Linked DNA regions of Lonchura striata. The protein of the gene in region 2 purifies or fractionates together with the protein of the main gene of each other region. This does not show direct contact. Links are inferred from orthologs where the notes say so. Each region holds a gene or a part of one and is shown on either strand. Other genes may lie near its edges.

Region 1 (16,757 bases), on a different chromosome or scaffold from region 2:
TAACACAACCCATACCAGCACAATGTGTGACGCTATTTTGAAAAGCTAGGAAGTTTATTTTTGATTTAACCACTATTTTGGAAGGACCATTTTGTTCAGTCCCGTCTGACCTTGTTCCCTTGTTAAGGGACAATCAGCCCATTTGCCTCAGACCTCTTAGAGCATCTTATATTTCCACAGGCGGAATTGCCTCTCAAGGAGCTCAAGGTCCAAGCACTTACCAAGTCCTCAGACAGTTCTTTGTCCCAGCAGACAAAGCTTTGGGAAGGGGACACCCTTCCCCAGCCCTTCCTGCACTTCCACAGGGTGGAGGCAGGGATAGGGAAGTAATCAGACAGTTCAAGACCGCCTGATAAATGGCTCAAAGCCTGTAAAAATAAACGCCCTTGCACAAAAAAAAAAAAAAAAAAAAAAAAAAAGGTGGGTTTTGCCATTTTGACACCTTCAGGCCAAGTTTACATACAACTTCTACCATGCTCATGGCATTACCTCTAGCAGAAGGTACATCATCAGGTGAAAATAAAGAAGTCAGTCAAAAATAAATACTATTTTCAGTGTTGTCATCTAACAGAACACCTTTTTTTTTCTTGAAGTAAGATGGTATGTCAGGCTTAACACTACTGTTCCATATATGGGTTTACAACAGGATGTGACAATAAGATATTAAAAAGTCACCATCTTCATTTGATAAACACTTGAACTTTAAGCTAAAAACCTGACTGCATAAGAATTTACTTCTTACTGTTTTAGACTGAACTAAGAAAGCTAGGACCAGATCTACAACGTTGCAAAGCACATGCAAAGAAATTGAGAACATTATGAGTAGTAATGAACTGTTTCTGTCCTTTCACTGGCTGGTACTCCATAAATAAAAACGCATAAACAGTAAGTACAGGTGAGGCTCAACATCACTCTAAACCCTCAATTACAGAATTAGTGTTATCCACAGCAGCACAGGTTTTCAGAGTTTTGAAACACTTGTGCTAATGGGGGCTTGCAGTTATACAAGAAACTGCAGCTATTTTCAAACTAGTTTGGAAAAAAGTGGATTGGAAAGGAAGTATTTTCTTTCTGCTTAGCTAGTTTCAAGAATGTTGTGGTCTATGTTAATGCCACAACACTTTTTGCAATAAAATGGTGCTCCAGTACAGTAGGAGCAGCATTACAAAATTCCTGAACCACTGCCAAGACTAGTGCCCATTTCATACAAGTTCCTATTCAGAAGTAAGTCTACTATATTTGCAATTAGAATTGCAAATAGGAGCCAGAACTGCTGGAACTCTAAGAAGCTTCACATCAGGCTTCTCAAGGCAACATACTCCAAACTCCATTCCTGACTCCACAGAACTTACTGGAGTCAATAGACACTGAGCTGAGCCCAAGCAGCATTAGATTCTTACACTGTAGCCAGCAACTGCACCAGTTCTATACAGAAAGCAAAAGCAACTAATTTCTGGGGTTTTCACATGTGCCTGCATATATACATACTAAGAGACTCGTGCATATTTCCCTGCCCATCCTGCAAGTCCTCTCTTGGAGGAAGAAAGATCCTCTGAATTGCTGTTGTTGGTGCACAAAAACAGCTGAGATTAGGGCTCAGAACAAAACCACAGATATCTTCAAGCTACAGAAGGAAAAGGGCTCTCCAGGCCTTATTCTGCTCATCTTACTCCAGCAGGCACTACCACACACAAATGTATTTATTCATAAAACACGCAGCACTCTGGAGAGTAGGAAGTCAGGGCAAGAGAGCTGCCCAATAGTGAAAAGGAACAAGAAAATGACTGCTCAAAATTTCAGCATCAACTCTGTGCTACAGCACTTGCTTGCCTAAAATACATTAAACCATAAATATTAGCAGCAGACATCTTCATATTCCACAAAATTAACAAGAGGAAAACCCAGCATTAATGCAAGTCCTTGCTTTTGTTCAGCATCAGGAGGCAGTGGGAGAACAGGCAGGCATTTGCCTAGTGTGATCCAGGTTGCTCAGAAGCCCACAGTTTTCCTAGGAAAAGACTTCATCACCAGGACCAACAAGCCTGAGCAAACCCAAGGAGTTAAGGGAGCACAGCTAAAGGCAGTCACTCACACAACTCAAAGCAATCCAGCATTGCTCACACTAAGGTTGGTCCAAGGCAACTTTGCTAAGACCACTCCACTGCTCAGGTTTAAGGCATGAAATGTGTTGTTTCCATTGACTTCTTGCCAAGCTCAAGCCAGCCTGGTGGGAAAAAAAATTTTAGTTCTGTATCAGGCTTGACACCTCCCTCCCACAGGCCAAAACAGCCCCCAAACTTGTATGATTAGAAAGCAGACTGTCAGGGATGCCAGGGCCAGCACTGGCCATGCCAAGACAGCAGAGCTGCTTGCAAACATGGGTGGGAGAACACCAGCCCCAGCAAGGACAGCACAAGAGCAGCAAGGAGCCTGCTGCAACATTCCATCCCAAGAGGAAACACAGCCATCCCTAATTCCTACCCCTCAAAAGAGAGGATTGAATCCCAAAACTTATGGATCCATGCTTAACTGGACTTGGTGCAAACATCCAAAGATGTCCCCTTCCTTCCATTTAGGCCACAAGAACATTTTAAGCCAAACTCTGAAGCCCCAAAAGTTTCAGAGAATGCCATGTTAATGCCCAGCCTCCCCAGCTAGAGAAAGGCCATCAGATCAATCAAGCACGAGATCTTCAGGAAGGGTTAAGAAAACAGGAAAGAAGGTAGCATTTCCCAGGACCAACCTCCTGGGCTACATGCTGAGCATTTAAAGATTGTGCTAGGATATGAACAGCACCTTGAGAGAAGAAAAAATTAACAAAAGGCTACTGAACTCCATATTAGCAGGTTGGACTAGATGATCTTAAAGGTCTTTTCCAACCTAATTAATTCTGTGATTAACCACTTATCCCTTCACCAACCTACCCCTCTGAGGAGAAAGCATCACCACTATCCCCACAGTGACACTTTCCTTCCAAAAATGTCCTCTTTCCTGGCTTAATATCCCACAGCTCTTGCTCACTGCCCCTTTCAATACAGTCAGGCCCTACCTAGTGCCTGAACAATCATGATCCTAAGGATTTCTAGCACATTTCCATGCTGAAGATAGAATTGCTGATGACAGAAACAGTCCTCTTTCTTTTCCAAACATTACCAAGTTTCTCTGTGATCCTCTCAAGGCAGGCAGATGACCAGAGCAGCCTGCAGGACTGTGGGACACCAGCATGCCATTGATTTTGGGAGCTTTACGCACCATATTCTATCTTCTCTCAGTCCTTCATTTCTGAAGCTGGTTTTGCTCTGTTGACACTGAGCACTCACCTGGTGCTTTTGTAAAGACATCATAGATTCTTTTCTCCCAAGGCTTCACTGCTCCATGGCAGCAGCTGATAGCATTTAGTTCCTATCTCCAGGCAGCTTCTGCTGGTGCCTTCCATGGGAATTACCTGATGCCTGCCTTTGTTTAGAGTCACACACCCTGTTCTGACAGCTGGCAGTTATCACCTCCATCACCCTGGACGACGGGTGCCAGCTAGCACCCCAGCAGTACCCTCTGTTCTTCTTCAGATGAGGTGGGGCTATACTGACCAGCACAGTGCTTCTCTCTGCAATAGCAGAGCTGCACCTCACCACAGCCCTGCCTCCACTCCAATACCCATCTACCTCATTCTTGCCAGGATCTTACTCCAGGACTGCCTGGTTTGCACAAGAGGCCTGAGATTTCCAGGAGATATTGAACAAGTGAACCAACGCCAACCAGTCCTCGCCTTCTCCAACATTCAGGCTTCTGCTCTAAGGCAGCATCTTCATGAAGTCTGACTTCCCCTTGCAGTAGCTAGTCACTCCTGTACATGTACACCAGCTTTTAAGGAATCTTCTCTCCAGATAGTCCATGTGTGCTACTCCCTGTGTGCTCCAGACTACCCTAAAGCAAAAACCCAGCCTCCAATTCGTTGCATTCCAGCTCAGAGAAGGGATGGTAGGCAGGGGGAGTTACCTAATCACAACTCACTTAAATGTTCTGAAGTGTTGTGTGACCTTGGAGAATTGTTAATCAAACATTTGCTGCTCCTCCTGTTTCACTTCCTTTGCATCAAAAGGTCAGTTCAAGCCTGTGCAGGATTCAGAGTCAAAGACAGGTTATGGCACAGAACTCTGTGAAAATCTTCCCCAGTAAAATAAAGTCCTGCTGAACATCACTCCCAAAACTTTTATACCTGGAGCCATTACTGTCTGGAAGAACTCCCTGAGAAACTCTTTTCCTCATGTGTCTGAGAAGGGGTATGTTACTTGGGTTTGCTTTTGCAAATTACTCCTAAAGCTTTCCTTTGGCTAACATTAGCAGCATTTATGAACCTTTATTTCCTTCCTTTGCATACAGCTTCAAATTTGAAAGTTTCAATTTTTATTTCAATAGCTTCCTTTACCAAGTTGTTTGAGACTTTCTACTTCCTCTTACCCTTGTTCAAGCCTCTGATGGAAGCAAGTACATTCCACCTAACGTGGCACCCACAGCCTTCTGTGCAGGGTTGCTGCAGACCACTGAAATTCCTGACCTATCCTTTTGAGGCAACTTATTTCAAAAAACAGAGGTACAGAATCGCACTTGAGCACAACAAGTTTTGTTAACACACTTCCATTACTTCACAGATTTTTCACATCTGCAAAGCCATAATAAAACATTACAGCCTTTTTTCTTATTAGGGTGGTTCTTGCCTTTTAATGCTGGCAGCTCCACAACACCTTTCTTTTTATGCTGTTCAATATGGAATAACCCAAGATACAGCTACTTTATTTCTCCATAGAGGACACAAGGTTTGCTAACACCATACCCCCTAAACTCCCCTTCAACTGTTTTCAGCAGGCCACAATGACATGTGGTGGTCCCCACAAACCAAGGATCACTCCAGCTGGTCAAACACTCCCTTATCTCTGGCTGAACCAAGCTGCTTGCATCTCACTGCCTCTTGGGGCCTCCAGACACTTACTGGGATCACCAAGATGCATTTATCTCCTTTTAATTCCTTTTTTCTTCCTCTTCTCTTTCCCACATCCTAGCTGCATACTGCTAGCCTCAAGAAGCCAACTTGAAAAGCCATCATCTCGCAGCTCCTCTGGGCAGCAGCACCACTCTCCTTCCATCCACCCCGTCACCAGTACAATTCTGTATTCGCGAGCACCCCTAAAGGTAGAAGTAAAGCCTGAGCACTTCATGATCATGACACTCCCAAGCGACAAGTAGATCCCGAGCTAAACAAAAACTCTCTCCCTATTCTCAGCCCTGGTCCCTAGACAAGCTGGTGAAGCTCAGGTTAAAAGCTTCTTTGAGGCAATGCCGTTGCCACAACAAGAATTTTTGTCCCATAAAATACTCTGCAGAAAGTCTACGGCTTTGAAATAAACAAACAAAAACAAGGCAAACCACGAGTACTTCAGTCTCGTTTAACAGGTTTAGAAACTCACTTGAATGTAAGTTTCAGACAATGTTTTATTAGGCTTTTCCTTCTGATCAGCTCTAACCCTGCAAATGCGACAGCGCTGCTGGCGAGTCCCGGGTGGCAAAATATGCTTTTTTGGGTCAAGTTTTGCACAGCTTCCCTCAACTGCAGCCCAGCTGTGTATTCTCAACTCTGCTGCAACCCATTTCGGCATCGAGACATCCCGAGCACTTCGCCCATTATTAACACGGCAACTTCCACTCGTCCCACGGGCAGTGCTGCGACTGACTCCAGACGCGGCTTCTTCCCGCAGCTCCAACTTCATTCCTCCACATCACAGCCACACCGCGGCCAACAGCCGAGAGAAGACGCAGCTTTTGAAGCCACACACTTTGCTCCTATCCGTCAGGCATACGAGCGGCTCCCGCAGTAATTTTCCACGCAGGAGCCAGCGCTAAATCGAGGTGCCCACGCCCCGAGGGCTTGAGGACAGCTCCAACCTCTCGGCTCAGCCATGCTTTCTCACGCCGGCCAGGAACCACACCGGAGACGCGATTCGAGGGGTGCCGGTCTGCTCCAGGAGATTAAACCCGAAGGGAAGCCACAGCTCCCACCGACAACGAGGAGCTCACACACACGACAACTTGCGAGGAGCCGGCTCACCTCGGGCTCAGCCCCGGCACCGGGAAAGCCGGCAGGGAGCCCGACCTGCGCACAGTTTTAGGGAGAGGATTGTGTGCAGTGCTGGGGATGCACAGTGGGAGCAGAATTGCACAAACCCAGCACCCCCTCCCCGCCTGGCAGCGCCCTCAACCCGCCTTTCGATAAAACCCCAAAAACGTGAAAAATAAAGCGGTGAGCACGCCGGCACCCGCTCCCTCTCCTTCCGGCGGGGGGCAGCAAGTGGAGAAACCAGCAAAAAACAGGCATCAAAAAACCAAACCAAACGCGGCTCCCGGCGCGTCCCCTCCATCCCCGTCCCGCGGGCTCCTCGCCGGGCAGCGCGGGGGACGCAGCCCGGGGCGCCTCACCCAGAAGATGAAGTTGAAGCCGAAGAGCAGGTACTTGATGCACTTGGTGCCTCCTTTGACGGGCATGGTGGCGGCTGCGGGCGCGGTCACCAGGCTGCCGCGCTCCGACGCCGCTCCTTAAATGCGGCCCTGCCCGGGCCGCTCGGGGACTCCCCTGCCCGCCCCCGGGGCCGCCCCCGGCCGCGCCCCGCACCTGCGGCCGCCCCTCTCCGCCCCAGGCCGGGCGGGCTCCGGCAGCGCCACACGGGGCCGGGCCCCGCCAGCCTTGGGGCTCGGAAATGTCCCGGCATGGAGGGGAAGCCCCGGGAACGTCGGGGTCCCGCTGCCGGCCCTGCGCGGCGCCGCCTCTGCGATCCCACCCTGGCAGGGTTGGGGTTGTGGCCATTCCCTGGAGAGCCCGCTCAGTGCCCCACCGCCGCCCTCTGGGTGCAAAACTTCCTCCTAATGTATAATCCAGCCCACCACCCCAGTCCGGCCTGCTTTTGGTACAGATCTCAGAACCCTTAGGGCTGGAAGGGACCTCTGTAGGTCACCCAGTCCAACCAAGGCAGCGTCACCCAGAGCAGGCGACACAGGAATGTTTCCAGGTGGGTTTGGAATGTGTCCTGAGAGAAAAGAATCCACACGCCCTCCCTAGGCAGCCTGTTGCGGTGCTCTGCCACCCTTATCGTAAAGAAACTCTTCCTCGTCTTGTGGTGGAACTTCTTGTTTTAGTTTATGGCCATTGCTCCCTGTCCTGTCGCTGGGCACCACAGAAGAGAGTCCGGCACCATCCTCTTGACACCTGCTTTGAGTTATTTATATGCATTAATGAGATCCCCTTTCTGACTCCTCTTAATAATCAGGCCCAGCTCCTGCAGAGATGGTCCAGAGCCCTCATCACCTTTGTGGCCTCTGCTGGATGTTTAGTTTAAAATGAATCCATCTAGCTTAAATGGATGTTTTCTCACACAAGATAAACTTACAGCGTAGTTCAATTCCTTTAATATTTCAAATATGTCTTCAAATATAACTTTGTATGAAATTACAAACATCCACTTTAGGAAAATAAGGCGGGTAAGTTTCAGCCTACCAACTGATCCATGGTAGCTGGTTGCACACGTGCTCTTAGGTCATCCCAGTTGTGAGAAAAAACAAGGTAAATTTCAACTAAGAATTTCCCTTTCATCGTAACAGGGTGTTCTGCACTCAGCATCTGAGCCTCTTAGCTCAGGGGTGAAAACTGAGGGCTTGTACCTTAATTTCATACAGTGGGATTAGAAATTAATCAGGTATTGAGAGTCAAAAAAACACCCAAACAGAACAGTAAAAACAGAAAAGCCATGCTGAAATGCAAATAAAAACATATTGGAGTTTTTGTTGCCAAAATAAAGGATAAGATACAGCACATTCCAGAGGCAATACGGAGGGGGAGATGCTGGCTTGGGCAGCTGCTTCCCAGAGCAGGTTACAAATCAGGAATACCTTTCCTATAAAATAAAGGGAAGCAGAGGGATGGAGGCCACAACAATATAGATGCAGAAAGGATGAAGTTAACAAATGCATGTGACTAAACTCTCATGGTAACTGGAAACTGAGCAAGGTTTTCTGTGTAACTTCTGGGTTGGTTTTCTTTTGACACTTTCCCATTAAGAATTTATGCTGTTAGTTAAAAAATAGCTGCTTGTAGGATTGAAATTTGTGTTTCATTCTATTGATTTTTCTTTCTTATTCCTTACCCTCCCCACTCCAATGCAGTTCTTAAATTCCTCTTGGTGGTTTTCCTTTTCTCCCTTCAGTTTTTTCTAACTGTTTTGAGAACGGAGGAGGAAATATTGCTGAGTAGAAGTTGCAGTATTGAATATTGTTCCTTTGAAGCTGTTGGTTCTTAAGATGTCATGTGAGGTCCCTGAGAAAAAAAAATGGTATGGAAGTATATTTCAAAATGAGCTGTCTATTTTTTGCCACTTTAGTGAGGTCATTGACTTCAGGACCTTCTGTGAGATGGTCAGATGAGCAAGAATAGGGTTTCCAAATATTTCTGGTTACAGACTCTTTGTGTCTTTGTGAGGTCTCTGGTCATTTCCTGCTGACCCCACCACAGATTGCTCCATAGCTTGGGAAGCCTGTGAAAAAGTCACTTCCTCTTTCCACCAGCATCTCTTTTTATACTTCATACATTTTTTCCTGCAGACCTGGAATGATATTCAGGGTTTGCAGGTGGGAAGTGCTGCTTTAGACCTCAGTGGATGGGTCACCCCAGCTGGTGTCACAGGAGGCTGGCTGTTCTTACCCATAAGAAAACTCTTAGCAGGGCTTTAATTGCCAGTGGTGTTGGACTGCAGCTTATCTTTTAATGAAAGGGGGCTTGTATACCATCTCACCTATCTGACATGCTGAAAATCAGGAATACCTTTCCTATAAAATAAAGAGAAGCAGAGGGATGGAGGCCGGCCACAACAATAATGATCCAGAAAGGATGGAGTTAACAAATGTATGTGACTAAACTCTCCTGGTAACTGAGCAAGGTTTTCTGTGTATCTTCTGGGTTGGTTTTCTTTTGTCACTTTGCCATTAAGATTTATGCTGTTAGGTAGCATCAGTAATATAGCTTCCCTTAAGTTTCTAAAATTAAGGATCACAGAAGAACTTTGGATAATTTCCCTCCTAGCTTTGTATTATTAAGCTTCTTATGCTAATATTGCGTTAAAACAACTTTCTTTAAAATTCATGGGCAGTAACCTTTTGATCAGAGGCAAGAAATGGACCTGTTCAATAAAAACCTCCTGTGCATTTGAAAAAAAATTAAACACTCCCCATTCACCTGGCAAATTAAGTTATGAGGAAGTAAAATGTGTTTGTACATCTTCAGTATTCTTGAGAATATGGAAGGAAAATAATGCTGTGGCTTGGATTTTTTTTTGTGGGGTTTTTTTTTGGTTTTTTTTTGGTTTTTTTTTTTTTTTTTTGTTCTTGTTTGTTTTTTTTTTTTTTTCCATTCCATACAAAGTATCTGGCGAGAACATTTATGTTTCACTCTTCCAGGGTGTAACGATCTGGTAGATGCAATTCTCTGACCACACCTGAACTTCTCTAACTAGTGGAATGAGATAGTAATCAACTGAATTTCTGCATAATAGAAATCACTAAAGGAAGTTAATGACCCTTGTAGAAGTACTTCACACTGATTTATTATTTTGACACTTTGTATTTGCATGGGATAATAGGCATTTTACATGAAATATTTATTATCTGCACTTAAAATTACCCTGGGTGGTTAAAGAGTTATTTTGTCCTGGCACAGAGAAAAGCAAATTCAGGATATTACTAACAAAAAAAAAAAAAAAACAAACAACCAATCAGAGTTTACCAGAAGCCTTTTAAAATTACACTTTCAACAATCTAGACCCAGCACTAACTATCTGTAGAACTTTTCTCTACAGGTAGGCTGAGTTATTTTATCCTATTTAAATGTGAAACTGAATGTCATGTTTGGGCCAATAGTGAAGAGGAGAAGCATTTGCTTCTCGCCAGGAAAGATTTTCTCCTCAGACTGCACAATCCAAAGGACCCTGATCCTTTGATTAATATAGGAAGGCAAAGGAGAGGAGGGGTTTCTCTCCTGACTGTATTTAAGGATGGTGGGATTCTCTGGTAAGAACTGCAGAATTCCCTGCCTCCTTGACCTGTTTTCCTGATATCCCTGCCTTAAGAATATTTGGAAGGACTAGTGTCAACTGGCTTGAGGCCTTTAACCTTCTTTGCATAAACAGTTCCAGGTCTTTTAAAAGGTTTTAGCTCCCTTAAAAAGCCAGGCATAAACGGTGGGAACTGCAGAGAGATAAAGTACAAGGCTTTCCCCACCAAAGGACAGGGATTAACAAATTTTTTGAGTGTCAGTTAAAGGAGAAATACAACAACAACATTTTGTTCTTTGTAGAAAAGTTACATCTTTGACTGCCCAAGCCAGTCACAAAATTAAAAACCTGAAGGTTGTTTTGCTTGCTTTTTAGCTTCAGTGATTGGGTTTTTTTTTAGCAGGGACTGTGATGCTGGGCTGGATCTGTCTGTCTGGTGAACAGTGAGGCTGTACAAACACAGTTCTCTGCTGTCAGGGAGTTGGGGATGGATTTTGAGAGGAAGGAGGAAATAGGAAGTCACAGATCCTATGCTGATGTCATCTGGGTCATCCTAAACTCTTGAGCTTGTCCATGGAAAATAACACTAACTGCCTTACTTCTGGTCTCACCTTTCCAAACTAATTTTAAGGTACTTTGGTTTATTTCAACACAGGAATATTTTGGAATGGTGATGGGTGAGTGGTTCCTTCCACATCTGAGGCTGTGAGCGAGAGGCTGGTCTTGGAGCTGGAGAGTCAAGACTGGCATTCCATTGCAAAATGGAATGAGTCACTGCAAAAATGACTCACAGAGTCACTCATGCTGATAGCATTATGTGGAAGGCATTGTCCTTTTTTTCCAGTGCTGGTAAAAATGTGTTTGGTGTTTGGTATCCATAGCAGATAGATTCTGGAAGAACTCATGCTGGGAGTAAATCTGTACATCCTAGAAATGTGTCTGCTTTCTGCCACGAGAGAAAGGCTTTGAAGAAACTACAAAGCCCTGGGGGATTTCATTAGAAATTGGTCTTCTGCTATAACTGGAGGTGTATCTGGAAGTGAAAACACAAAGCCAGACTTCTTAATTTTTTTTTTTTTTTTTTTTTTTTTTAAATCTGAGATTTGAAGAAGTTTAGAAGAGATTTGGGCACATCCTTGCAAATATTTGGCATAAGACATTTGTGTATGATGCATGAGTAGTGATAATGTCAGGAGAGCAACTGGAAAATCTCAATATGAACTTAGGAACCCATACAAAATTGTTTCATAATTGGTTATCATTTTACTGGAAAACCTCAATGTGAACTTAAGAACCTTTATGAAATTGTTTTGTAATCAGTTATAATTTTCACATTTTGAGATAAAATGCATGGGATAAAAAGCAAAAATTCCAAAAATTCCACAAAGCATCCATTCAAAAGAATTCAGACATCCTTACTATTACCAGTGATGAAAATAGACTCCTTCAGGAAGGAAGGGTGATAAAAGGATGGAACCAGGCTCTGCTTGGTTGTGCTGGGCAATAGGACAAGAGGGAATGGACAGGAATTGATGCCAGGAGGTTCCACCTGGGCAGGAGGCAGAACTTCTGTCCTGGGCAGGGACCCAGCCTGAGCAGATTGTCCAGAGAGGCTGGGGAGTCTCCTCACTGGGGATATCCCAGACTCCTTTGGACACAATCCTGTGCCCTGTGCTCTGGGATGGCCCTGCTGGAGTAGGGAGGTGGCACCAGTGACCCACAGTGGTCCCAGCCTGAACCATCCTGGGATGTGGAGTATGTCATCATTACTTAGGGAGAAGGAAGCACACTTGCTTTTTTAATTGTTGTGAAATCCAAAAAATAGTCTGGATGCCCTTTAATTTCTCACAACAGCAGTTGGACATCACTGGAAGTGCGGCCCACTCCTTTTCAAGGTAAATCACCATTTCAGCCCCCCATGCTGCAGATAGCAGTGCTTGCACCTGGTTTCAGTGTGAGAGCAGGCTCGTGACTGGAGGACGGGAGACCAAAGCTTTACCAAACAAATGCTGCGACTCTGCAAGATTGCAAAGTGCCTGTTTGGAAATCATGGCTGTAACACGAGTTACTCCAAGGGTGATTCATTTAACTGCTATGTTGTCTGCATGTGTCAGACTTTTCTGTGTGGGTGAAGTTATTTTAGGAGCAGGGGACACGAGTGGGGCCACAGGCTGTGGCTGCTGTCGAGGGAGGTGCTGGCAGGTTGGGCAGGTCCTTGAGCACAGGGCCCCTTGATGTGACGCATCTCCCTTGCCACAATACAGCCCTGTGATGTGTGTGGGGACTTAGGGCAAACCTTTATAGGTGGAAGATTAAAAATCAGGTGTGTGAGGCTCAGATCTGACTGTTGTGGAAAAATAATCCTGGTTTTTCTAGCACATGTGAGAGAGAAATGCAGGCAGCATCAGGAAAAAGTGAGATGGCTTTAGGTCTATGTCTGACAGCCAAGAAAGCCACAGGTAACAGTCTTAGCAGTCTCTAGATGCTTTTATTTCCCTCTTCAAAGGAATAGAATAGGATAGAATAGAATAGAATAGAATAGAGCAGAATAAAGAGAATATTTCATTTATAAGGAACATACAACCACCATCTAGTCTGAGTACTTCAGGGCTAACCAAAAATTAAAGCATGGTATTAAGGGTGCTGTCCAAATGCCTCCTAAATGTGCTTAGTAACAATGCTCCCAAATCTGAAACTATTTCTGGTCTTTGTTCTGTTCCAGCCAGAGGTGGATTTCCAGGTATTTTCCTCTTATTCCCCGGCAGTCCCAGTTTCATGGATCCACAGAGCACAGGTTAGGCGGCTTCTCAGGCTGTCCTACCCAGTGCTGTCAGGTGGATGACTAGGAAATTGTCAAGATATTATTTTTAATCAGATTCATGGATCCATTAAGAATTTTACAATTTAAATTTTTGGTGCAAAGTAATCTGAACACTCTGGCAGAGTCTCAACTGTATTTATAAATCCTTTGTATGTATAACTATAAATATTTTCCATACCTAGCTAGAAACATTAGTTATGGACTGATCTTTGAAATGCTGGAGTTACTTTTCAGTCAATTTAAAAAGCAGGAAAAGTAATTATATCCAACAATGGAGAAAGGGGGAATGTTTCCCCCCAATTTTTCAGTTAAGCAAAAGTGTTTGAGGACATTTTTCCTCCTGTCCTCTCAGAAAGAAAATAAGCTTACTTTATGCAAATGCCAAGAACTAAAAAAATTATCCAAACCCCCAAGAAGTCATACATGAAAATTAATAAAAAAAAAAAAATCACCAGATTCTTTTCAATTTCTGCAGGAATGGTTTAATATTAGGATCTGTTTTGGCTCACAAAAAAAGCTCCTTAATCTCTGTCTTCACTGAAAATTAGCAGGAGTTAATTATTTAGTGGCTATTTTAAATAAGTTGTCACAGAGTAACCTCCTCCCTGTCTGCAAGGGAGAGGATTTTATTTCTGAGTAACTACATAGCACTTGCAGGTGAAGACAAAGAATTTTTAATTCTGAACTAGCACTTATGTGTGGGAGCTAATCCAAGCATATATTCCAACACAGGTCTAATAGTGTTGAACTGGATAAGGTTGATTTTGCTTTCTGGGTTTGTTTTCAACTTCATTTTCCAAACATGGATTTGGGTTTAAGCTTGTATTTCACTCTTTGGTAATTAAAGCAGCTATGCATGGCCTAAAGTGTGTGACTTAAAATATAGCTGCTTGTAGGATTGAACTTTGTGTTTCATTCTATTAATTTTTCTTTCTTATTCCTTACCCTCCCCATTCCAATCCAGTTCTTAAATTCTTCTTGGTGGTTTTCCTTTTCTCCCTTCAGTTTTTTCTAACTGTTTTGAGAACAGAGGAGGAAATATTGCTGAGTAGAAGTTGCAGTATTGAATATTGTTCCTTTGAAGCTGTTGGTTCTTAAGATGTCATGTGAGTTCCCTGAGAAAAAAAAATGGTATGGAAGTATATTTCAAAATGAACTGTCTATTTTTTGCCATTCTAGTGAGGTCATCGACTTCAGGACCTTCTGTGAGATGGTCAGATGAGCAAGAATAGGGTTTCCAAATATTTCTGGTTACAGACTCTTTGTGTCTTTGTGAGGTCTCTGGTCATTTCCTGCTGACCCCACCACAGATTGCTCCATAGCTTGGGAAGCCTGTGAAAAAGTCACTTCCTCTTTCCACCAGCATCTCTTTTTATACTTCATACATTTTTTCCTGCAGACCTGGAATGATATTCAGGGTTTGCAGGTGGGAAGTGCTGCTTTAGACCTCAGTGGATGGGTCACCCCAGCTGGTGTCACAGGAGGCTGGCTGTTCTTACCCATAAGAAAACTCTTAGCAGGGCTTTAATTGCCAGTGGTGTTGGACTGCAGCTTATCTTTTAATGAAGGGAGGCTTGTATACCATCTCACCTATCTGACATGCTGAAAATCAGCTGACAAAGTGTGCTTTTTGTGGGCCCCTCTTTTAAAGTCAGGTGAACGTTCATCTCTGAAATGACCAGGAGGTACTTGAGTATCTTCTCAAGCTTTGGTGACTAATGCCAATGTCACACAGCCTTGCCATTTTTACATCTGTTGGTGTCTAATGCTGTCAGAGGGGAGGGCAAAGTGCAGTGGGCAGGCCTCCAGTGAGTATATGCAACATGTTATGTAATTTATTTAGCTCCAGCTGCTATGAAAAGCATGATAGGATGGATACCTTCTCTGCTCTCAGCACTTCATAGCCTTTCAGCAATCACAATTGCTGTTGTCAAATGTTAATCATCTGGGAAGCTCTTGCAGGATGCTTTGTACAGGTGATGGATGTGATCTTGCCATCTGAAATCCCTCTGCTTTGATTCTTGTGCTGCATGTGCTTCCTTGGGCATTTATTTATTTCAGTGATGGAAACAGAGAAGCATAGATCATCAAGACCTGCTTGAGGCAAACCAGTCTGTGTCTTCCAGGGCAGAAGTGAGAAATAGGGCTGCTACAATCAATCTGTGAATTTCAAGTTTTGTAAAATGGAAACAACTCCCATCTTTCCTGGAAAAAAATCTTAAGAGTTCAGCAAATAGCATGGAAAAGAAATACATAATGTATTGGGGCTGCTCTTTAGAATAGGCCAAAGGTAAATAGTAAAAGCCAAGATGGAGAAACTCTGGATGTTGTGATTCAGTGTAGACAAGGGAGGTCACACCAAATTTGAGCTGATTGCTCAGTGTTCTGTCAGTGAGTGTATTTTCATTAAATCCAGCAACTAAGCATGATATTCAAGAAGAAACATGTTGCTGAACATGCTTTCCCTTTTCCATATGATACCATCAGGGGCAAGGTAATATCCTCTCCTCAAAGACAAGATGTGGTGGGTAGAGTAAAATAAATACATTTATAGTATAGTAAACATGTTTATATTTACTTTACTGTACTATAGCTTACAATTACTCTCATGTGTTTCTTGTTATGAATCACACTGCCTTGAAATGAAGTCCACACTTCTCCAGGTGCTTCAAATCACCATTAATTAACTGATGATTACTTAAACCCTCCTGAAGGGAGCTGGGCTCGCATCTACCCTGTGGTGTCCCTCAGGAAGGTTTGTTTTCTTGGGAAGATTTTTTTCAGAGATTAAGGGATGTTTTTAAAGCCTTAGCTTTGTGTTTCTTCTCTCAACTTCGAGTTAAACTGAAAATCTTCCTGTAAAGGCTCTTGCTCTACCTATGTTCTCTGCTGGCATGGTATGTGAAGCTTTCTTATTGGGGAGTAAAGCTATTGGACTTTTGATTGTTTGGTGAACCCATAGGTAGGTTTAAATTTAACAGCTAAATTAATAACTAACAACTGCAGTGCCACAATCTCCTTTGATTAAACCTCTGATGAACCTGGTGGATAAAAACAAGGGTCAAGATAGAGCATAATTGAAGATAATCCCTTTTATAGCAATCAAATGAAGGGAGGGCTGAAAGCCTCCTGAGAAATGGTATGTGCATTCCTGGATTTTTTTTCACTTTTGCAAGGAGGTAGCTTTGCATTCTCTAAGTTTGAAGTTCTGTTTGTTTTCTTATCTCAACTCTTGTAATATTTTTTGCAATAAATCACCACCTGAGAAGTTAAAGAGGTTGCAAATAAGCACCACTATATTATTATAGTTATTTTTGCATTGACACAGTTAAAATCCTTTGGGTTTGATTTAAGGAGTCATCTTGTTCAGTTTGTTACTAAATTTGAAATTATGTTTATTCTGTGCATGACTATAATACTGAGGGGGAAAGATGATAATAATTAGTATAACTGATGCAGGGGGGAATAATTTCCTCTTCAGAAATGCCTTGAAATAGCTGAAGGTGTACTTTTTGAGAGCTAGACTAGGTATTCTTAGTTTCTAAAAATATTTTAGCTGCTTTGATAAAATCTGTGAAAGCTCCTTCTGGGGGAAGGAGGGCTAGCCTCTTCAGATCACAGAAGGGATGAAGGTTTGAAATAAAATAGACCCAGACCTGAGGAAAAAAAATATATATATATACATGAGCAGTAGACTCTTTAGAGAGTCTTGGAAAAGAGAGGAGTGGATTTTTTAACTCTTAACAACCAAGTTTTCAAATGCCAGTAGGCAGAGGCAAGACTGTGAGGTGTGTCTCAAAACTGGCATGTGGTTCTAGTCTATTAATTGTTCCAAAACTTCAAGAAATGCC
Region 2 (12,697 bases):
ACTAACTGTCCCTAAGTGTCCCTAAGTGTCCCTAAGTGTCCCCAGCGTCTTTGACATCCACGCCCAATACTCCCAGCTCCCAAAGCTCCTCCTCACCCCAAATCACCCTCCCCATCTTCTCCCTCCGTGCCCGACGTCACCCCAATGCCACCACTGCCCCCCAGTCTCACCATCCCACATCCCAGCGGGGTCTTCAAGGCTCCCTGAGTCCCCCCCACCCCCAGCGTTCCCCCTAAACCCCCCACCCAAACCCCTGCCGGGGTCCCCCCCACCTATGTAGGTGTTGCCGTTCCTCTTGTTGGGGTAGGAGAAGTCGTGCAGGTCCCACGAGTCCCGCTGGAGCATGTAATCCGTGCCTGGAACGGTGAGGGGGGTCACCCACAGCCTTGGGGGGTCCCACGGGGGCACGGGCACCTCGAGAAGGGGGTCCCAAGGGGCCACAGACCCCCTGGGCAAGGAAGCGTCCCCAGAGGTGAGGGGAACCCCAGGAAAAGGGGTGCCAGAGGGGTGACCCCAGGGCTGGCAGGTGCCCCCCAGGAAAAGGGGTGCCAGAGGGGTGACCCCAGGGCTGGCAGGTGCCCCCCAGGAAAAGGGGTGCCAGAGGGGTGACCCCAGGGCTGGCAGATGCCCCCCAGGAAAAGGGGTGCCAGAGGGGTGACCCCAGGGCTGGCAGGTGCCCCCCGTGCCCCCCAGGACCCTCACCCTGCCAGTTGTAGGCGCCGGGCGCCCCGAAGTAGATGATGTTGGCGCCGAAGCCGGCGCTGGTGCCCATCTGGCACATGCCGGTCTCGTCGGTGTCGGTGTTGGCGTTGCACATCTCGTTGTGGTACGTCTGCCACTCGTCGGCCAGGTCCAGGCGCAGGTCGTTGCCCCGCACATAGCAGCGGCCGACCATGCGGCGCTGCGCCTCCGCGCCCGACCACAGCACCCGCGTGTAGCGGTGGGCACAGGCCTGGCACGGGGACAGGGACAGGGACAGGGACAGCTCAGGGACACATCAGGGACTGACCACAGCACCCGCGTGTAGCGGTGGGCACAGGCCTGGCACGTGGACAGGGACAAGGACAGGCACAGCTCAGGGACACATCAGGGACTGACCACAGCACCCGCGTGTAGCGGTGGGCACAGGCCTGGGGACAGCAGGGACACTGAGGCTCAGGGGACATCCCAAATGTGGAGGGACACCCCAAGGGTGTGTGTGTGTGCAAGGAACAGGGATCTGGGTGTGCAAGGATCTGGGTGTGCAAAGAACAGGGATCTGGGTGTGCAAGGATCTGGGTGTGTAAGGAACAGGGATCTGGGTGTGCAAGGAATGGGGATCTGGGCGTGCAAAGCCCCTGACTCACCAGGACCCTCCCCGGCGGCTGCCGCTGGCTGGCCACTGTCACCCCCAGCCACATGTCCTCGATGATGGCCTTGTCGGGCTCATCTGCGGGGGAAGAGCCGGCCTGAGAGGGGGTCCCCACGCCCGGGGGGGGTTTTGGGGTGGTCACACACCCCGGGGGGGGCACCCACCCTTGAGCTCGATGGGCAGGCGCTGGCAGTCGCGGGTGGCAGCGCTCAGGGGACAGGCGTACACGGCGCCCGTGCGCGTCCCGTTCACCGGCTCCGCGTCCCGGGGGGCCCCCACCAGCAGCCTGGGGGGCACGAAGGGGGCACCTGGTGGGTGATGGGGGGAGCAGGTCCCACCCCCCAGACCCCTCCGACTCATTTTGGGGTGCAGAGAGGGTGGGTGGTCTGGGGAGGGGACACTTGGGGGACACCGGAGCTGCTTGCCCAGAGTTTGTCACACCCTGACACCCCCAAATAACGAGGTCAGCCCCGTCTCCAGAGCTGGAAGGGGACACAGGGACCCCAAACGGCCTCAGGGACAGACGGATGGAGTCACCCCACTCTTCCCAGACTCCATCCCATGGCTGAGCCCCATCCCCATGCACGGGGGGTGGGAAGAGGGGTCACAGTGACCCCCCCAAACCTCGCTGTGCTGGCGGGGAAAAGGAGAGGGAGGGGGGGGCTCAGCACCCCCAGGACAGCCCCGGCCCTTCCCGGCCAGGCTCTGATCCATCCCCAGCCCCGGCACAGCTGCGGCGTGTCCGGCCGACAGCACCGAGTGCCGCGCCAGGGAACGCGGGGACAGAGCCCCGGGAGCGGGGAGCTGGGACAGACACCCCGAATCTGGGATGGATCCCCTCATCTGGGATGGATTCCCAAATCTGGGATGGATCCCCTCATCTGGGATGGATTCCCAAATCTGGGACGGACACCCGAATCTGGGATGGATCCCCTCATCTGGGATGGATCCCTGAATCTGGGATGGATTCCCAAATCTGGGACGGACACCCCGAGTCTGGGATGGATCCCTGAATCTGGGATGGATCCCTGAATCTGGGATGGATTCCCGAATCTGGGATGGATCCCCGAGTCTGGGATGGATCCCCGAATCTGGGATGGATCCCCTCATCTGGGATGGATTCCCAAATCTGGGACGGACACCCGAATCTGGGATGGATCCCCTCATCTGGGATGGATTCCCAAATCTGGGACGGACACCCGAATCTGGGATGGATCCCCTCATCTGGGATGGATTCCCAAATCTGGGACGGACACCCGAATCTGGGATGGATCCCCGAATCTGGGATGGATCCCTGAATCTGGGATGGACACCCGAATCTGGGATGGACACCCGAATCTGGGATGGACACCTCTCATCTGGGATGGATCCCCTCATCTGGGATGGACACCCGAATCTGGGATGGACACCCCGAATCTGGGATGGACACCTCTCATCTGGGATGGACACCCTTAATCCAGGACAAACACCCCTCACCCCGCACAGACACCCCTCAGACACCCCTGACCCCGGCTGTCCCAGGACAGGCAGCACCTCCCAGGGGTGACCTCCCCCAGGAAGGGCAGTGCCATGGGGGACATCGGCATTCCAGGCTGGATGTGCCCCCCAACCCCTTCAGCTGATGCTAAAGGGACCCCCCCACCCCAAAGGAAGATGCTGGGGAGCCCGGCAAGGCCCCGTGGCCCTGGCATGGGGAGCTGGCATGGCTGGAGGGCTCCGGAAGGGCCGGACTTTCCGCCGGGAAGTCCTTGGGGAGCGCCAGGACAATGGCGTGGAGGTGGCCGTGCTGGGGAGGAAGTGACTCCCTCTGGCAGGCGGGACACTCGGGGGGACACGGCACCCAGGACATGGAGTGGGACATGGCACAGAGGACATGGCACCCAGGACACTGGGGGACATGGGGGGGATACGACACCTGGGACATGGAGGGGGACATGGGGGGGGGGGGGGGACACAGCACCCAGGACATGAGAGGGACATGGCACCCAGGACATGGAGGGGGACATGGCACAGAGGACATGGCACAGGACGTGGAGAGGACACAGCACACAGGACACGGCACCCAGGACATGGCACCCAGGACATGAAGGGGACAGGGCACCCAGAGATGCTCACTGGTGTAACGAGCTGGCCAGTCCTCAGCAGGGCCACCAGCGAGGACAGGGCCAAACGCCGCCGTGCCCATCCCCGCGGTGCCCATCACAGCAGCGGCGGACGGGGCCAAACGCCGCCGCGCCCGCTCGCCCGTTCCCCCGGCAGCGCCGGCGGGCAGGGAGTGCCGGGAAGCCGAGCAATGCGCGGCCGGCAGCGCGGGCACGTCCGGGCGGGCCGGGCGCTGACTCAAAGCCCAGGCGCAGGAGGAATGCGGGGCCGCGGGCAGCCCCCGCCCCGGCACGCCGGGACCCCCCCGGGGCGGCTGAGTCAGCCCGGGGCTGCAGGTGGGGGGGGCTGGCACCGCTCAGCCCAAAGGGGGGTCCGGGGGGCTGCTCCCCGCAGGAATGCCAGGATGGGGGTGCCGCAAAGCCGCTGGGCAGGGAAGGGAGCCAGGGGGGTGATGGCTCGCGGTGATGCCAGCTCGGCACGCAGGAATCTGCCCCCCACCCCAGCTGCAAGGGGGGGGCACAGGGGCACCATTGTCGCCTCTTACCTGGGGGGGAAGTGACTCAGGGCGGCTGCTGTGACTCAGAGCTGGGGGGGTGCTGCCCCCACACCCCGAACCCCACCGGGACCTGCAGCCCCGGGGGTGCCCCCAGGCTCCCCCGGTGGTCCCGGCCCGGCCGGACCCCGCCGTCCCCGCGGGTCCCGGGGGGCGGGAGCCCACCCAAGCCAAGCAGCTCCGGCACGCCGCTGCCTCCAGCCAAGATTCCCGGCACGGCAGCCCACCCGCAGCTCCGCTCCTGGGAGAGGAGGGGTGCGGGGCTTTCCAAAACAGGGGGGGCACCCAGGGGCGGCCCCCGCCCCGCTGTGAGCCAGGGGGCCACGGGCCCGCGGCTGCCCGGGGCAGCGAGCCGGGATTCTGGAGGGGCCGGGACCAGTTTGTGGCGCTGGTCCCAGTGGGCTGCGGGGACGGGAGCTGGGGCTGTGCTCGGCATGGTCAGAGAGCGGCACGAGGGGGAGGCCGGGACGGGAGGGAAGCAGGAATGTGAGGCCGTGCTCCGTCCTAATCCGCCTTGGCAAGCGTGGGGGGGCTGGATGGAGCGGGGGGAGCTCCCTGCCAGCGCTGGCTCCGCTGGGAGCGGGGGCTGTGGGAAGCTCCGGGCACCAGGACCCCAAACTGCGGCCCCCCCTGCGGTGGGAGTGGCGAGGATGGCAGAGAATCCCACCCGGACACCTCAGCACGGTCTGGAACAGGGGGGTCGTGCACCCCCCGAGGCCCCCAGCCCCAGAACCCCCTCCCCAGGGAGCAGCTGGGCAGCGAGGGGAGCTCCTCATCCATCTTCGCCAGGAGCCGGGAGGAGAGGAGCAGGCGGGGGGAGCCCGGCCCGCCCCCAGCTTGTCCCCAGTGCCGCTGTGTTTGTCATGGGGGTCCCTGGGCAGGAAATCCACCGGGACCCCTCTGGGAAGGAGCCGGGAGTGGGGGGACAGCTCCGGGAGGGATGGATGGACGGACGGACGGACGGGCGGATGGATGGATGGATGGATGGATGATGGATGGATGGACGGACGGAGGGATGGGTGGATGGATGGACAGACGGCCCCACATCCGTCCCCCTCCTCCTGCCGAGCAGCCGCAGCCCCGCAGGACCCCGGCGGATTCGGGCCAAGGCAGGGGGAGCTCAGCCAGCTCCAGCAATCCGCAACAGCCCGGCCGGGGGGAGGGAAAGCCGGGAACGCAGCCAGGAGAGCGCTCTCCTCAGCAGCCAGCTGGAATCAGGAAGACCCCCGAGCCCCGGGCAGAGCCCCAGTTCCCAGAGGGCTGCAGATGTGGGTGCTGCCTCCCCTCTGGCTGAAGATTTTGGGAGGGTGGGTGTCCTCAGCTTTCCTGGAACGGATCTCCCGTGCCTCAGTTTCCCCAGGTCACCCGGGGACCTCCAAACCCACCTGGGCCGGGCCGAGCGGCTCCGGCAGCCAAAAGCGGCTCCGGGTGGGAGCGGCCGGACGCGGACGGCCCGAGGAGCTCCGTAATCTCGGCTGATAAGAGCCCCGCTCCCAGCCGCGCTCACCTGGCCCGGGAGGAGCGAGCAAACAAACCTTTGCATGGCACAGCTCCGCGGGGCGCGCTCGGCTCGGCGGGGGCGGAACCGGGGGGCTCCGGCATCGCCCCGGCCCCGCCGCGCCCACCCGGGACTTCGGGGATGCCGGCGCTGCCCCGGAGCATCCCAGCAGCCAGGGCAGCAGCCAGCCCCCCAAAAAAGCACGGGACCCCCCGTCCCGAGTGGCACACGGGGCAGGGCGGGGGCAGGAAGCGTCGCTTTCCTGTCCCCACCCTGCACCTGCGAGCGGAGGGCGCCGCCGCCTTCGCCCGGCACCGGGCCGCGGGTGCGACCCCGGGGGGCTCCGGGGGTCCCCCAGCGCCGGCCGCACCCCGGGGCGGCTCCGACGCCCCGAAGCGGGGAGAGAACGGCGCGCTGCTCCCCGCGGAGGCTCCCGGGGACGGGCCGTGGGTGCCCGGGGGGGTTCCGGCTCCGAAGCCGCTCCCCGCCGCCGGCGGAGCCTCCGCGCCCCGCCGGGATCGCGCTGGGACACGCTGGGACACGCGGCGCAGGTGCGGGGGTGGCGGGTCCCTGTCACGGCCCCCCCAAAACCTCCCCCGGGGCCGTTCCCGACCTGTCCCGGTGCCAGCCGCGACCCCCGCCCGGAGCCCCCCGGCTGCGGGGCCACCGGAGCGGGCAGGACCGGGCCGCGGGGGCAGGGGGTCTCCCGCACCCCTCCCGGGGCTCCGCGGGAACGGCTCCGCTCCCTCCGGCACGGGAGCAACAACAGCTCCTCATCCCACGGCCCCAAATGCATCCCTGGAATGCGGAGCGGCACATGCCTGCACGGGCAGCTGCCGCCGGCCCCCCGGGACAAACGGGGTCCCGGGGGGTCCCGGGGGTCTCCAAAAGCCCCCCCCCCTCGCAGCCGGGAGAGCCGCGGGAAGGTGATCCAGCAAAATCCCGTGCCCTTCAGGGGGACAAAGCCAGCCCAGCCCCTGCGGCGGGGCTCTCTCCCGGCACGGACGGGAATTCCCGGCCAGGCGGGACCGGGGCCGGGGAGCGGGGCGGTCCGGGACAGCGGGGTACCCCGGGGGACAGCGGGGGACACAGCGAGTGACAGCGGTGCGACGGCACGGGGGCTGCTCCGGCTGAAAAGGGCTTTTGTTGGGGCTTTGCCCGGCAGCAGGAACCACAGCCCAACAGGTTCCCGGGCACGGGGCCCCGCCGGCACCGGCGGAGCTCGGGGGGAGCTCGGGGGGCTCCGCCACCGCCCCGCTGAGGGTTGGCGCCGGCCGGGACCGCTCGGCTGGGAAGGGATCCCCCACCCCGAGGGGCTCCGAGCGCACCTGGGGGGACACGGGGTGACCCCACGCTGCTGCCAGACGCCCCCCCGTGTCACCGGGACCCCGCGGTGGGCGCGCAGCACGCGGGGGATGAGGAGGGGGCTCGGGGTGGGACCCCCAGCACCCCCGGGGGACCCTCCGTGCCACAGGGACCCCGCCCCACGTGGGACCCCCATCCCAACGGGGGACCCTCCCCGCTCTGCCCCACCCCACGGGGGATCCGCACCCCACGGGGACCCCAACCCTAACGGGGACCACTCTGAGCGCCTCCGCCCCGCACGGGGAACCCCGCATTTCACGGAGACGCCCCCGCTGACAGGTAAAGCGCTGCCTCACTCTCCTCGGCCTCACGGGGGTCCCAACCACCGGAGACGCCCCGGATCCTCCCGGGGACCCCCCGCACCCCCACGGGGGACCCCTCCCGGTTCTTCCCCGTCCCAACCCTCCCCCCCCACTCAGGTGAACCTCGCCTCGCTCTCCCGCTCCGCACGGGGAGCGCAGCCGGGCCCCCCCCACTGCACGGGGCTCGCCCCCCGCCCCCCGGCCGCGCTCACAGGCTCCGCTCCCGCCGCTCCGTCTCCCGGTGCAGCGCTACCGAGAAGCCGAACAAGGCTCCGGCGGGGCCCTCCTTGAGCACGGGGAAGGTGCGGTCCAGGTTGAAGGCGGCGGCGGCGCCGAGCAGCACCGGGCCGAGCCCCAGCAGCAGCCCCGGCAGGGGCGGCGGCAGCAGCCGGCGGCGCCGCGCCATGTCCCGCACCGGCCGCCGTACCCGCCCTGCCGCCCCACCGGGACCGGTGCGCGGGGGGCGGGGCCGGGCGGGGCCGGGGCGGGGCCGCGGCGCTTCCGGACACGCCCCTTAAAGGGGCCGCGCACCCCGCGGGCACCTGCGCGCTCAGGTGCGCGGGGCAGGGGGGGGCGGGCGCACCTGGGCAGCCGCAGCTGCGTCACCCCCGCCGGGGGTCGCGGGGCTCGGACCCCGCCCCCTGCCAGACCCCCCGAGTGCCCCCCTCCCCAGTGCCCCCTCCCCAGTGCCCCCTCCCCACGCCCCCGCGGGACAATTCCCCCCATTCCTCCCGCCCTAATCCCCCCGGGGTAGGACCCCCCTACCTGGCACCTCTTTGGGATGGGACCCCCCGGCATGGGACCCCCCCAGGAGAGAGGGGACCCCCGGGACGAGACCCCCCCCATGTCAGGAGGTCATACCGGGACCCCGGGAGCGGCACCGGGGCGGGGCCGGGCCGTGGGACAGCCCCGCCCCCGCGGGGACAGGGAGGGGACCCGGCGGGGACATGGCAGCATCGCCGCTTCCCTGCCGGGGGCGGCGGCCGCGGCTGTCACCGTCCCGACCCCGGCAAAGGTCACCGGGAGCCGCCGCGCCGCTCCCACCGGGCCGGGAAATCCGGGCCGGGCTGGCCTGGGGGGGCTGCAGGATGTCCGGTGTCCCCCGCCCGATGTCCCCGTGCCCCTGTGCCGTGTCACCGGCACTGGAAAGAGTGACGGCAACGGCGACATCGCGGGCAGCGCTGCCGGCAGCGGCAACCGGCCCTGGCGCGGGGACCTCCCTGTCCCCACCCTTGTCCCCATCCGCTGTCCCCTGTAGCCTGTCCCCTGTCCCCAACCCCTGTCTCCAATCCCCCATCCCCTGTCCCCATCCTCTGTCCCCTGTACCCTGCTTCGTGTCCCCATCCCCTGTCCCTTGTCCCCAGTCCTGTGTTGCCCAAATCTCCTATCCCCATCCCCTGTCCCCATCCCCTGTGCCCATTCCCTGTCCCCTGTCCCAAATCCCCCGTCCCCTATCCCCAAACCCCTGTCCCCCTGTCCCTATCCCATGTCCCTTGTTCCCAATCCTCTGTCCCCAAAATCCCGTCCCCATTCCCTGTCCCTTGTCCCCATCCCCTGTCCCAAATCCCGTGTCCCCCCAATCCTCTGTCCTCATCCCCTGTCCCCAAATCCCCTGTCCCCAATCCTCTGTCCCCCTGTCCCTTGTCCCCATCCCCCGGCCCCGCCCGCAGTGACACCGATGACGTCACCCCGCGGTGTCATTGCCCCCAAAGGCCACGAGGTGGCGCCATTGACCCAAAGATGCTCGGGGGGGGTGGGGAGGGGGTTGGGGCGCTCGGGGACCCCCCAAGCCCAACCCCCGCGGCTGTGACAGGGCCGGGGGGACACGCGGGGACTCCCGGGGACCCTGCCGGGCTCCGGGACCCCCCCGGCCTTTTTGGGGGACATGCGGAGGAAACCCTTCAGCCTTGGGGGGTCACGGGGGGGTTGTAGGGGTGTTGGGGGGTACCCCCAGCCCTGTGGGGGACCCTCGTGGGGGACTGGCCGGACCCTGTGCTCAGCCCTGTCCGTGGAACCCCCCAAAGACCTTCGGGTGCCCCAGAACAGCGATTTCAGCCCCCCCAAACTGCCCCCCCAGCCCCTCCCCAGCCCTGAGCTCCCGCATTTGGGGTTCCACAGGCTCGGCAGCCCCAGAGCTCCCAGCCCCAGACTGGTCGGGGACTGGCCGGACCCGCTCCCCCTCCAGCCCCGCTCCGCGCTGCCCTCCCCGGCCTCCAGCCCCACAACCGGCTTTTCCTGCCGCAGCGCCGCTCCCGGCGGGGCCCGGCCCTGGCGACAGCGCGGCGGGAGGGCGACAGCCAGGCTGGGGGCCTGCGGATGTCCCAGCGGCTCCGGGGACCCTGGGAACCTCCCCGGGAACCCCGGCGCAGCTCCCAGGGCTGGGCTGGGCTGCTCCCAGACACTTCTGTCCCCTCGGAATGAATTCCTGGAATCCCCAGCTACAATTCCCACGTGGGAAGCGAGGCAGTGCTGTTCTCCCGGCTCCGGGGTCACGCTCGGCCTCCTGCAGAGGCCCCTGCTTCCCTTGGGCATTCATCCCTGCTCTCTTTATTTCTGCTTCTATTATTTCCATTTATGTCTGTTTCTATTTCTATTACTTCTATTTCTGTTTGTCCTTTTCCTGTTCTAGCTCTTATTGCTATTCCTATTAATTCCTATTCCTACTTCTAATCCCATTCCTACTTCTAATCCTATTCCTACTAATTTTCCTGTTCTTATTCCTCTTTCTATGCATTCCTATTCCTATTTATCCGGGTTCCTATTCTTATTCCTATTGCGATTTATTCCTGTTCCTACATCCATTCCTGTTCCCATTCCTGTTCCCGTTCTCATTCCCATTCCCTCTCCTTTCCCATTCTCCATTTTTCTCCCTCTTTCCCCGCAGTCCAGCGGTTCCGGCGGTGCCGGGACTCGAACCCGCGATCGCCGGGGCTCTGCGCAGTTCCCGCCGTGGCCGCCAGGCGGAGCCGTTGCCCCGCGCCGCGGGCCGGGCCGGGGGGGACCCGGGGGGCACCGCGGGGACAATGCGGGGAGGGGGGACACCACACACAGGGGACAGGAGGGGACACACAGGGGACAGGAGGGGACAGCCCCGCCCGGGCCACGGACCCAGACCCCTCCCAGCCCCCGGTTCTTGTCAGGGGAAGTTCCTGCCCGCAGAAGCAGAGACCCCTCCCCAAAAATAAACCCACCCCTTTCAAAGTCCCCCTCCCCGGTTCTGGGGCGGTGGGGACAGCCCGGCGGGTGGCCTGGGGGGGGACCAGGGCTGGCCCGCGACCCCCGGCTGGGTCATGCTGCTGGGGGTCCTTGGGGCAGCACAGGGGTCACAGCTCTGAGTGGGGGTGAGAGAAGGGCACAGACCCCCGGGGGGTGTCCCCCAAAATCGGGGCTTGTCGCTGCCCCGAGGTGCCGCCAGTTGGGGGTACGGGAGGATCCTCTGGGGGGGCTCTGCCTGGGGGTGGTGTTGGACTGGAGGACGCTGCTGGGAGAAGGGGGGAGCAGGGGAGAAGTCGGGGGGCCGTAAACAAACCCCTAAAACCCCCAGCCCCAAGCACGGATCCATCCCCATCCTAAATCCCAACACTCTTTCCCTGCCTCACAACAAACAAACTCAAACACTCCTCAAAAAAATCCCCCCACAACCCCAAAATCCCCTTGTAAACAGCCCTGTCCTGTCCCCCACAGTGTCCCCTGTGTCCCCGGGACACCCCTCCTGCAGGCAGGACCCTGCACACTTTATTTACTCCCTCACCCTCCTTCACCCACTCTTTGTTGTTTCTTGAGAGAGAGAAGGAAAAAAAAAAAAAAAAAAAGAAGGGAGAGAGGAAAAAAAAAAAAACCCACACAGGAGGAGGCAGGAGCCTATTTTGCCTCCCAGGCAATATTTCTGGAGCCAATCGGAATGCGCACCCACCCTGCCCTGCTCCCTAATTAAAGGCTTTAAGCAGGCGGCCGGGGCCGGAGGTTTGGGCACAGTCTCTCGGTGGCTCCTCGCGAAGCAGCCGCAGCGCCGGATCCCGCTCGGGGCACGCCAGGCCGCGGCCGCCGCCAGGTTGGGGGGTCCCCGGCGCGGGCAGGCAGCCGCCCCCTCCCCGCTGCCAGCCATGAGCGGCTCTTTCGATAAGAAGCTCTCCAGCATCCTGACGGACCTCTCGGGCTCGCTGAGCTGCCACGCAGCCTCCAAGGACTCTCCCACCCTGCCGGAGTCCTCGGTCACCGACCTGGGCTACTACACGGGCCAGCACGACTACTACCCGGGCCAGTCGTACGGGCAGCCCGTGGGCCACTACCCCTACCCCCAGTTCAACCTGAACGGCATCGGCGCCGCCGGCACCTACTCGCCCAAATCCGAGTATTCCTACAGCCCTTCGTACCGCCAGTACGGGCACTTCAGGGAGCAGCAGCTCCCGCCGCAGGAGGCAGGTACGGATGGAGCGGGGCACCGGGAGCGTGCCCGCCCCGCCGCTCCCGCGGGGTGCCGGGGGGGCTTGGTGCGGCTTTAACCCCCGGGCTTTGTGGGGGTAAACCCCCCGGGCTTTGTGGGGGTAAACCCCCCGGGCTTTGTGGGATTTTACCCCCCGGGCTTTGTGGGGTTGTGTCCCTCGGGGTGTCCCCGGTCTTTGTGGGGTTTTAACCCCCCGATCTTTGTGGGGTTGTGCCGCTCGGGGTGTCCCCGATCTTTGTGGGACTTTAACCCACCCCTCCGCCCCCGATTTTTGTGAGGTTTTAGCTCCTCGGAGTGTCCCCGATCTTTGTGGGGTTTTAACCCCCCTGTTTTTATGGGGTTTTACCCCTGGGAATGTCCCCGATCTTTGTAGGATTGTGCCCCTCCGGGCTGGGGGCAGGGGGCTGCTGGCGGCTGTGGGGGCTCAGCCGTTCCCGTGGGGACGGCTCCGTGCTGGATGCAGAGTCCGGGACGTGTCCCGGGGGGGTCCCAGAGGTTGTCGCAGGGGACGGGGCGCTGCCAGCACCCCGAGCGGGGTGACACCGGGCTGGGGACGGGTGACACCGAGCTAGAGACGGGTGACACCAGGCTGGGGAAGGGGTGACACCGAGCTAGAGACGGGTGACACCGAGCTAGGGATGGGTGACACCGAGCTGGGGAAGGGGTGACACCGAGCTAGAGACGGGTGACACCGGGCTGGGGACGGGGTGGCTGCCCTTGGAGCCCTTCACGCTCACCCCGCGCCCTCTCGCAGTGTCCGTGAAGGAGGAGCCGGAGCCGGAGGTGCGGATGGTCAACGGGAAGCCCAAGAAGATCCGCAAGCCCCGCACCATCTACTCCAGCTACCAGCTGGCCGCCCTGCAGCGCCGCTTCCAGAAGGCGCAGTACCTGGCGCTGCCCGAGCGCGCCGAGCTGGCCGCGCAGCTGGGGCTCACCCAGACCCAGGTGAGGGCTGAGCCCCCGACACCCCAAATCCCCCCGCGGGAAGCAGAGGGGGAGCCGGAGCTGCCACCCCCCCGGAAATCCTGGATTTGGGAAGGGCTCGGCTCCCGCGGAGCCAAAAGGGGTCTGGGGGTCACAG

What was found.
Region 1: the proteins of ITGA3 (region 2) and CD9 purify together in Homo sapiens (affinity purification with western blotting; 3 studies listed by BioGRID and IntAct, with this or other methods). This does not show direct contact. The link is inferred for Lonchura striata from reciprocal best matches to the Homo sapiens genes ITGA3 and CD9.

What each region holds. Positions count from the first base shown.
Region 1 is NC_134607.1:3,685,245-3,702,001, forward strand, and holds the start of CD9 (CD9 antigen), read right to left. Parts: upstream 6,601-16,757; 5' UTR 6,535-6,600; coding exon 6,469-6,534; intron 1-6,468. UniProt on the Homo sapiens protein: Integral membrane protein associated with integrins, which regulates different processes, such as sperm-egg fusion, platelet activation and aggregation, and cell adhesion.
Region 2 is NC_134627.1:8,521,575-8,534,271, reverse strand, and holds the start of ITGA3 (integrin alpha-3), read right to left. Parts: upstream 7,581-12,697; 5' UTR 7,579-7,580; coding exon 7,385-7,578; intron 1,638-7,384; coding exon 1,516-1,637; intron 1,430-1,515; coding exon 1,347-1,429; intron 953-1,346; coding exon 703-952; intron 357-702; coding exon 273-356; intron 1-272. Other genes in the region: NPEPPS (puromycin-sensitive aminopeptidase), read left to right, coding at 11,276-11,594, 12,371-12,690.